2 linked regions of the Mus musculus genome follow. The protein of the gene in region 2 purifies or fractionates together with the protein of the main gene of each other region. This does not show direct contact. Links are inferred from orthologs where the notes say so. Each region holds a gene or a part of one and is shown on either strand. Other genes may lie near its edges.

Region 1 (3,911 bases), on a different chromosome or scaffold from region 2:
GGAAGCCATGGCAAGAGAATGTAGAGGCTGGCAAAAAATTCTAGGTTCGATTCTATGAGTGTGTGAGACCTGGTGTGGAGTTTAACTGTTCTCCCAATTAAACATTTGTATGCTTTATTTCCTGTTAAAATATTACCTCAATATTTCAAAATCAATGATGCTTATGGTGTTTGTCCTTAAAAATCAAACTAACAAAACACTGTTCTTCAAAGAGCCAGATTTGATTCCCAGCACCCACATGGCAGTTCACAACTATCTCTAGGGGATTTGACACTAATTTTTTTTTTTTCCTGGCCACTGCAAGCAGCAACATACCATTGCACAGAGATACCGGCAAGCAAAAGATGAAAATAAAATAAAAGTGGATTTCATTAGCCCAAGACATTGTAATTATGGGATCTACTTTTGGTAATCTTGAATAAATTTGGTAAGTTTTCTTGTTTTTTTTGTTTTTTAAATCACACAAGACATGCAGGTTATCTTTATTATACTAAATTAAAATTTTATTGAATAAAGAACACTTTCCCGAGCACATTGATTGGATGGGCTAGGTCTACATTACATGCAATGAAGCTGAACATGACAGTAGTTTAACATGGAATGTCAAACAAATTAGTTTCTCATTGTCCAAAAACTCCTTGTGTAGCTGGCGCGCAAGAGGAAACATGATAACTCGACATTTCAATCATCTGTGATGAGTTTTTTTAAGTCACTTGAAGAAACTGGTAGGTGTCTTTAGCTTACAGTTCAAATAAATTAGTTACATGTGCACTGCTGAAAACTCCTTCACCCCCTCTAGTATCTCAAAGAAAATCTTAGTGCAAACATCCAAGTTGCTCGTCAATCTAAAAGACTGTTAAACTCAGAATACAAGTTCTGAGTTAATGTGTAGTTAAGTAGGACAAAAATTACCAGATTACCAGTTACTACAAAGTTCCTTTAGGCTCACTTGATAGTCCACTCTAAGCAACCCTCTTCTAAGTCTCTCACATTAATGACTAAAGCCTGTTTACAGTACTAAAATTCTATCATTCAAGCATCAATGATTATATTTCAGAAAAAGGAAATCATTCATTTCAGTAATGGCTATTACTGCTACATTCTAAAAAAGAAAAAAAAATCATAATTAACAAAACCAGTATCCATAATAGGATACGTGGAAAAAATATTTTAGGGAAAAAGTGTGTGCTTTACACTTTTGCACGGCAGGAATTCTATAATGTAAACACCACGTTGGCCCACACCACAAAGATCCATGAGGAAGGTTCAAATTTGAACACTGTGTGAATTCGATTCAAATCTGTGAGTTTATACTGCCTCTGCTTGTACCAATAATGACAAAACACACGCTTACACACTTGCACACCCACACATAGACAGAAGCGATTGTTAAATATTGAGCATGGCTTGCCTCCCTGATGCTAACTCAAAAAAAAAAAAAAAAAAGACTTTCTCACTGTTTTAAAAATGTCGATAGAAATCATTTGGTGAGGGTGAGGACCAGCTGAGGATAATATATGGAAGACACAAAGGTGGGACAGATTTGAAAAAGAACCCACTGAGATGCAAATACATGGGCAATCTTTTTCTTTGAACCTTGTCTGAACTTCGAATTGATACCTACCAAGAATGAAAATCGTGTATAGTAGCATAAGGTCCATCCACACCTAGAGGGTCAGGCCAGGGAAGCTCGCCTGCAAACTGCCAAGTTTTTAAACACTGGAATGTTTTTTAGCGGGGATGTAGGACAACCTGTCTTTTCATAAAGGAAATGCCATGTTGAGGACTTGGATTCCTGCTCAAAGCTCTATGGCAGAATCTCAGTAAAACAAAAATTAAAAAAAATATATATCACCCACTCACTCATGTATACAGAACCATTCTTAAGGTTCAGTTGGGGGGCAGAGAGAGAAAGCCCTATCTATGTTTCATCCAATGAGACTCTTACTAGAATTTAAGCTCTTTGAATCTTCTACATTAAATACCGTTACATACCTCCCCTTTCCCTACTTTTGCCGCCTAGCTATCCCAAAACACCCCCCAAGGAACCTAGATATTGTAATGTCTTTGTTTTCTACGCCTCATTACTGAGGTTGTTGAGTACCACCTCCACGGGAACGAAATGAACACCCCAGGTGCACGTTCTGCAAGCACCCTTTTTTTTCTCCTCCACAATCGATTGGCAGCTTGATGTTCAAGCCTGTTTAAATCTCCAGGTCATCAGGCCGAGGTCTGCTGCTGGCGCGGCTGCTGGCTCTGCTGGAAGGTCGCTGATCCACGATAGCTAAGGGCTGGAGTTCGTGTCCAGCAGCAACTTTTTTGGCATTTTGGCTGTCGTCAGGGAAATCAAACGGCTGGGCGTGGGAGTTGGAGATGGTGCTTCCGGCCTGCCCCATTCGATTTTGCTCTGCGCTGTAATTCGCCCAGTTTTGCTCGCTGGCTTGCTTGTTGTAATTGCGGCAGGAGGAATTGTTTCTGTCACCAGTGACCAGCTTGTACCCAGGAGGAGACATAGGTGAGAGTGGGGCCGTTGGTGAGGAGCAGCCATTGAAGTAAGCATATTTTGGAGATCCGCAGTCTTTGGATGGGCTCAGTGGGCCGGTGGTGGCGTGGTAAGGATCGCTTCTTCCCTTCACGCGATCCTTAACGCCCTTGAAGAAGACATAGAAGAGCTCAATGATATTCAGAGCGAGAGACACCAAGGACACCACCAGCATGAAGATGATGAAGATGGTTTTCTCCGTGGGACGTGAGAGGAAGCAGTCCACCTGGTGGGGGCAGGGATCTCTCTTGCAGGTGTAGACCGCACTCAGGCTGAACCCATAGATGTACCACTGGATCAGCAGGAAGGCCACCTCGAAGACAGACTTGAAGAGGATGCTGATGATGTAGGTTCTCAGCAGGCCACCTCTCATCTTCACCTTGCCGTGTTCTTCAATCCCATACTTGAACTTCTTGATTTCAATCTGCTTCAGGTGCATCTCCACGTTGACCCCGTCGGTCTGCGCCACTTTGAGCTCCTCTTCTTTCTTGTTCAGCTTCTCTTCCTTTCTCATCACATAGAACACGTGAGCCAAGTACAGGAGTGTGGGCACAGACACGAATATGATCTGAAGGACCCAGAAGCGCACGTGAGAGATGGGGAAGGACTTGTCATAGCAGACATTTTCACAACCGGGTTGTTGAGTGTTACAGCGAAAGGCAGACTGTTCATCACCCCAAGCTGACTCAACCGCTGTCCCCAGGAGCAGGATTCTGAAAATGAAGAGCACCGACAGCCACACCTTCCCTCCGGCCGTGGAGTAGGCTTGGACCTTGTCCAGCAGCTTCCCCAAGGCGCTCCAGTCACCCATGTCTGGGCACCTCCTAAGAAAAACAAAAACAAAAACCACGAAAACAACTCAGTGATTGTAGACTGTAAATTGATGGTTTCACATATATAGTTTCTTTTTTCAGGGGTCAGTCAAAATAAGGCAGTTTCAACCCAAGCCAAAACAGAATCCAAGGGCAAATCTGGCAGCATTTCCCAAAGATGAAGTTGACTCGGAAGTAATAGCACCCAGATACAGGGAGAAGAGCGAGCCCAACTTGCCGAAGATGTATTTAGTATTAAGGCTCTGGACACCACCTTGCCATGTGACCTGACAGGCTCTACCTACCAAGTGCCTTTGCTTATTTTAGTTGTCTGATAAATAAGACCAGTTCTTTCTTGGGAGTCCAAGGGTCTGTATGCCTCTAAGCAAAACGTTGACATGTATTATTAAATAAAGTATAGGCACCTAAGAAAGGATTGAGTGACGGACCTTCAGCAACCAGCCTTGCTTCCCAAGATGCTAGGCTAGACCAGTTTTACTCTGAAATGTTTCACCTTGACATATCCAACATGTAATTTGTGCACATTCTGAATTAAG
Region 2 (3,911 bases):
ACCTTTCTCCATTCCCCTCTTTACCCAGGACTCCCCTCCCCCAACGCCATCTTTCCTTTTGTTCCTGAACTTGAGTCCATCTCTGAAATCATGGAAACCATCATAAGGGCTGGTGAGATGGCTCAGTGGGTACGAGCACCCGACTGCTCTTCCAAAGGTCCAGAGTTCAAATCCCAGCAACCACATGGTGGCTCACAACCATCTGTAAGGAGATCTGACTCCCTCTTCTGGAGTGTCTGAAGACAGCTACAGTGTACTTACATATAATAAATAAATAAATCTTTAAAAAAAAAAAAAAAAACCATCATAAACCGATCATTCATTCCCCACCCCAGCTTGGCTTAAGTTCCAACATCTGGAAGAGTGACTACGGTCATGGGACTAGGACTAGGGATCAGGGACCATTCTTCTTCTTTATCTTTGTGCACCCCACTCCCCTGGCCAATACAAAATTATGCTCTCCCCCGCTAAAGGCTTACAGAGGATCGATGCAGTAGCACTTGAGGGCCCCTCTGCAGCCACTGGAGAGGGCCCCCCTCCACTGCCAGCATCTGAAGTTGTATTGCCAGAGCTGCAGGGCTGGACAGGGGCGGCGGCAGGTGAGGCAGGCGTGGTGGAGGGTGCAGAGGCAGAGTCAGGAGTGGATGGAGGAGAAGCAGCAGCAGTCACTGGATCTTGAGCCCTGAGGACAAAGAGTAGGGAAACCTGGCTGGAGTGTGCACAAGTGACAAGGTGGCCTTGGACTGACAGCTCAAGCCACCTCCTAAGCAGCCTTGTTCCACCCTTACCCCAGGCTAGCAGGATGCTGGGGAGAGGGATGGTATCAGTTATCAACAGTCTCTAAGGCAACCTGGGAGTACTGACAGGCTCCCCCAGAGGTAAGACCTTATCCATCTGTGCCAGGCCTGGCTGCTGAACAGGTGAGAAAGAATGGGAGGTGAGGTCACAATCAGGAGCAAGGGCAGCTCCTGTCTGTACTTACTTCTGAGGGGTTTTGATGACTAGGTGGACTGTGAGCCCATCCTTGATGCCGTGCTGGCTCAGGGTGTCCCCATCCTTGAGGATCTTGCCTGCGAAGATCAGGACCAGCTGATCCTGCTGAGCCTTAAACCTCCGGGAGATCTCCTCCTTGAACTGTGGTCAAGAGGCAGAGATCACTGCAGAGGCCAACTGCGCCCCGCTGCAAGACTTGACCCTCAGTTCTGCCCCTCTAGCTACAAGAATCCATTCAATTAGTTCCATGACACAGTATCCCAACCCTGGAAAGCCCCTGCTGCTATCCACAACAGCAGCTTCTGTCCCACCACCCAATTCTCTGAAAGTGATACCTCACAGAGGCATGGGCAGCCCTCCCCATCCTAAATCCTTCAACTAGCCTTGGGCTCAGGCTGTCTCTCTTCAGCCTTCTCTCTGCTTTTCAGTCCCAGCTTCCTCATCACTATAACAGATAATCTAGAGTATTATTGAGATCTATTGAGGAATCTAGTGTGTTAGTTACCATCTCTACTTAATTAAATTAATTAAATTTAATTAATTAATTAATTAATTAAGAGACAGGGTCTCTGCATGTAGCTCTTGCTGTCCTGGAACTTTCTATGTAGACCTCGAACTCAGATAGATCCACCTGCTTCTACCTCCCCAGGGCTGGGAATTTAAAGATAAGGATCAGAGAAGAGGTAATGTATCCGGGGATATAGGAACTCAGGTCTGGACATCAATGTCTTCATCAGACACATTCTCAATAAGAGCTGTTTTATAATTCAGCTTTTCCCAGGGGACTTAAAATTCTCTAATGAGAGAGCAGCAGTGGTACCAACGGCTACACTGGGGCGAGTTAAATTTTCTAGATTCTATCAGCTCCTCCAAAACACAACACAACACAACACATATTCTAACTATAAACAGTGCACTTGCTAAGCAAAAGATCCCTCTCTTCCAACCAGATGGCCTATTCTAAGCCCCGCCTATGTGCAATTCTGGAGCAGCTTCAAGCAGTGGGGAACACAGGCAATACTCCCTCACTCATTCTATATTATTTTGTTGAGCACCTACTGCGCTCAGCAAATCCTGTAGAGCAGAAAACTGAACTACACAACCGTTTCGATTTGCGACAAGGAGGCTCTGTGGAGAGAGAGAGAGAGGGAGAGAGAGAGAGAGAGGGCACCACCACCACGCGACACTCCCGGGAGAGCATAGCCGCAGCTCGCTCGGGCCGCACGGTGCCTTAGCGCCTGGAACCTCTACCAGTGACCCTGGAGCACACTCTCCTCAAGCCTAGGCTCCAAATGGAGCCCGCAAGCAAGGTGTCCCTTCCTCAAGCTCCCCCACCACGCCCCCAGCCCGGGTAGCGCGGCCAAACCGGCCCCTACCCGCGCCACGCTCCCCGGACTAGCCCTGGCAGGGCGCCCCCTACCCGCTTCTCCCGCCTGTATGCCCCTGGATTCCGCCCCGGCCGGGGGCCCGTCCCCGGCGCCAGGCCGACCCCGAGGTCTCCCTCTCTGCTCTGACCCCCTCGGTGCGCTGCTCCCGCCCTCCTGTCTCCTCCCAGCCAGATACTACCTCCTTGACCGAGGCTTGATCGCAGATCACGATCTCCTCCTTGTCCTTGGGGGTCTTGACGGTGACCCGAATCTGGGGCCTCGTCTCAGCCCCACTCGGCTCCGCCATGCCGCCGCCCGGCCGCCCGCCAGCCCGTCCGGCTCCTCCTCCTCCTCCTCCCGGCCCGCCCGGCCCGGCCCGACTCCGGGGCCTCCAACTCCCCCTCCCGCCCCTCCCCAAGGCTCCGCCGCCCACTCCGGACAGCCGCAGCCACAGCGCCCCGGGCGGCCTGGGGGAGCACTGCAGCTGGGGCGGCCCAGGCCCGAGCAGGGTGCGCAGCTGGCCCGGGCCGGACAGCGCGGAGGGCGGGAGATTCAGGGCCGCCTGCGGCTCCCTCCTGTTCGGACAAAGGACTTTCGTTGTCGCCGTCTTATCTCCGTTCCCTGGGGTCACTTGGTTTTCTTGAGAGGCCTGGGTTCGTTCCTGGTTCAGGACGTCCTTAAGACCTCTGCGGATTCGAGCAGTCGTGGCCTCCGGGGAACCGCCCCGAGGGAGCCATTAAGGACGGTTTCAGAGACCTGGAGTTTGCCTACGTGGCTTCTCTGAGCCTTGGGAGTAAAAGAGCAAGACCCCACAGAATTGTGACTAGCGTACAATATTGCTTTAAAAAATGGTCAAGGATGTGCCTAACAGATAGATTTATTATTAGATTGCGATTGACCAGTAGGCACGAAGGCGTCCTTCGCGTGGAAGATGTTAAAAGTATTTCCACCGTTGCCACTGTCCTTGCGCTCCCGCTCTCCCCCCCCCCAACTCCACAACCACATGGTCCCACTGGAACGCTGAACTATGGTTCCCAGAATTCCTTGAGCGATCACATGAAACTACGATTCCCAGAGGCCCTCGCGCGGGGCGGGAATTGGGCCAGAGCCTCAGTAGATGGGCCCGGTGACTACAACTCCCAGGCGCCTCGTAGCTGGGCTCCTGGGCCACCGGAAGCGACTGAGGGAGAGCAAGAGGCTGCGACTGTAGGGGTGTGTTGGTGCAGGTCAGGGTTAAGAGACGCAGGCATGCTGCGTCCCAAGGCTTTGACGCAGGTGCTAAGCCAAGCCAACACTGGAGGAGTCCAGAGCACCCTGTGAGTGAACAAGAACCCAAGCAGCGAGCGCTGGAATGGGGCGGCGCGCGGCTGTCTGCAGTAGGGGTAGGGAAGAGCCCTACGCCGGGAGGTGGCTAATGTTGCAAGCTGCAGCTTCGGAAACCCTGCTTGAGGGCTTCCTCGGAAAGGGAAATGGACAGTTGATTAGCGTGTTCCTGGATTCTTGCTTCCTAAAAGCGCCAGTAGCTGGAATTGGGATAGGAACTCAGACCTT

Evidence for each region.
Region 1: the proteins of Ubqln4 (region 2) and Gja1 purify together in Homo sapiens (affinity purification with western blotting; 3 studies listed by BioGRID). This does not show direct contact. The link is inferred for Mus musculus from reciprocal best matches to the Homo sapiens genes UBQLN4 and GJA1.

The regions. Positions count from the first base shown.
Region 1 is NC_000076.6:56,386,989-56,390,899, reverse strand, and holds the end of Gja1 (gap junction alpha-1 protein), read right to left. Parts: intron 3,367-3,911; 5' UTR 3,354-3,366; coding exon 2,205-3,353; 3' UTR 481-2,204; downstream 1-480. UniProt on the Homo sapiens protein: Gap junction protein that acts as a regulator of bladder capacity. A gap junction consists of a cluster of closely packed pairs of transmembrane channels, the connexons, through which materials of low MW diffuse from one cell to a neighboring cell.
Region 2 is NC_000069.6:88,552,561-88,556,471, reverse strand, and holds the start of Ubqln4 (ubiquilin-4), read right to left. Parts: upstream 2,757-3,911; 5' UTR 2,668-2,756; coding exon 2,560-2,667; intron 2,534-2,559; exon of another isoform or gene 2,053-2,533; intron 1,135-2,052; coding exon 983-1,134; intron 683-982; coding exon 480-682; intron 1-479. Other genes in the region: ragulator complex protein LAMTOR2, read left to right, coding at 3,609-3,676. UniProt on the Homo sapiens protein: Regulator of protein degradation that mediates the proteasomal targeting of misfolded, mislocalized or accumulated proteins.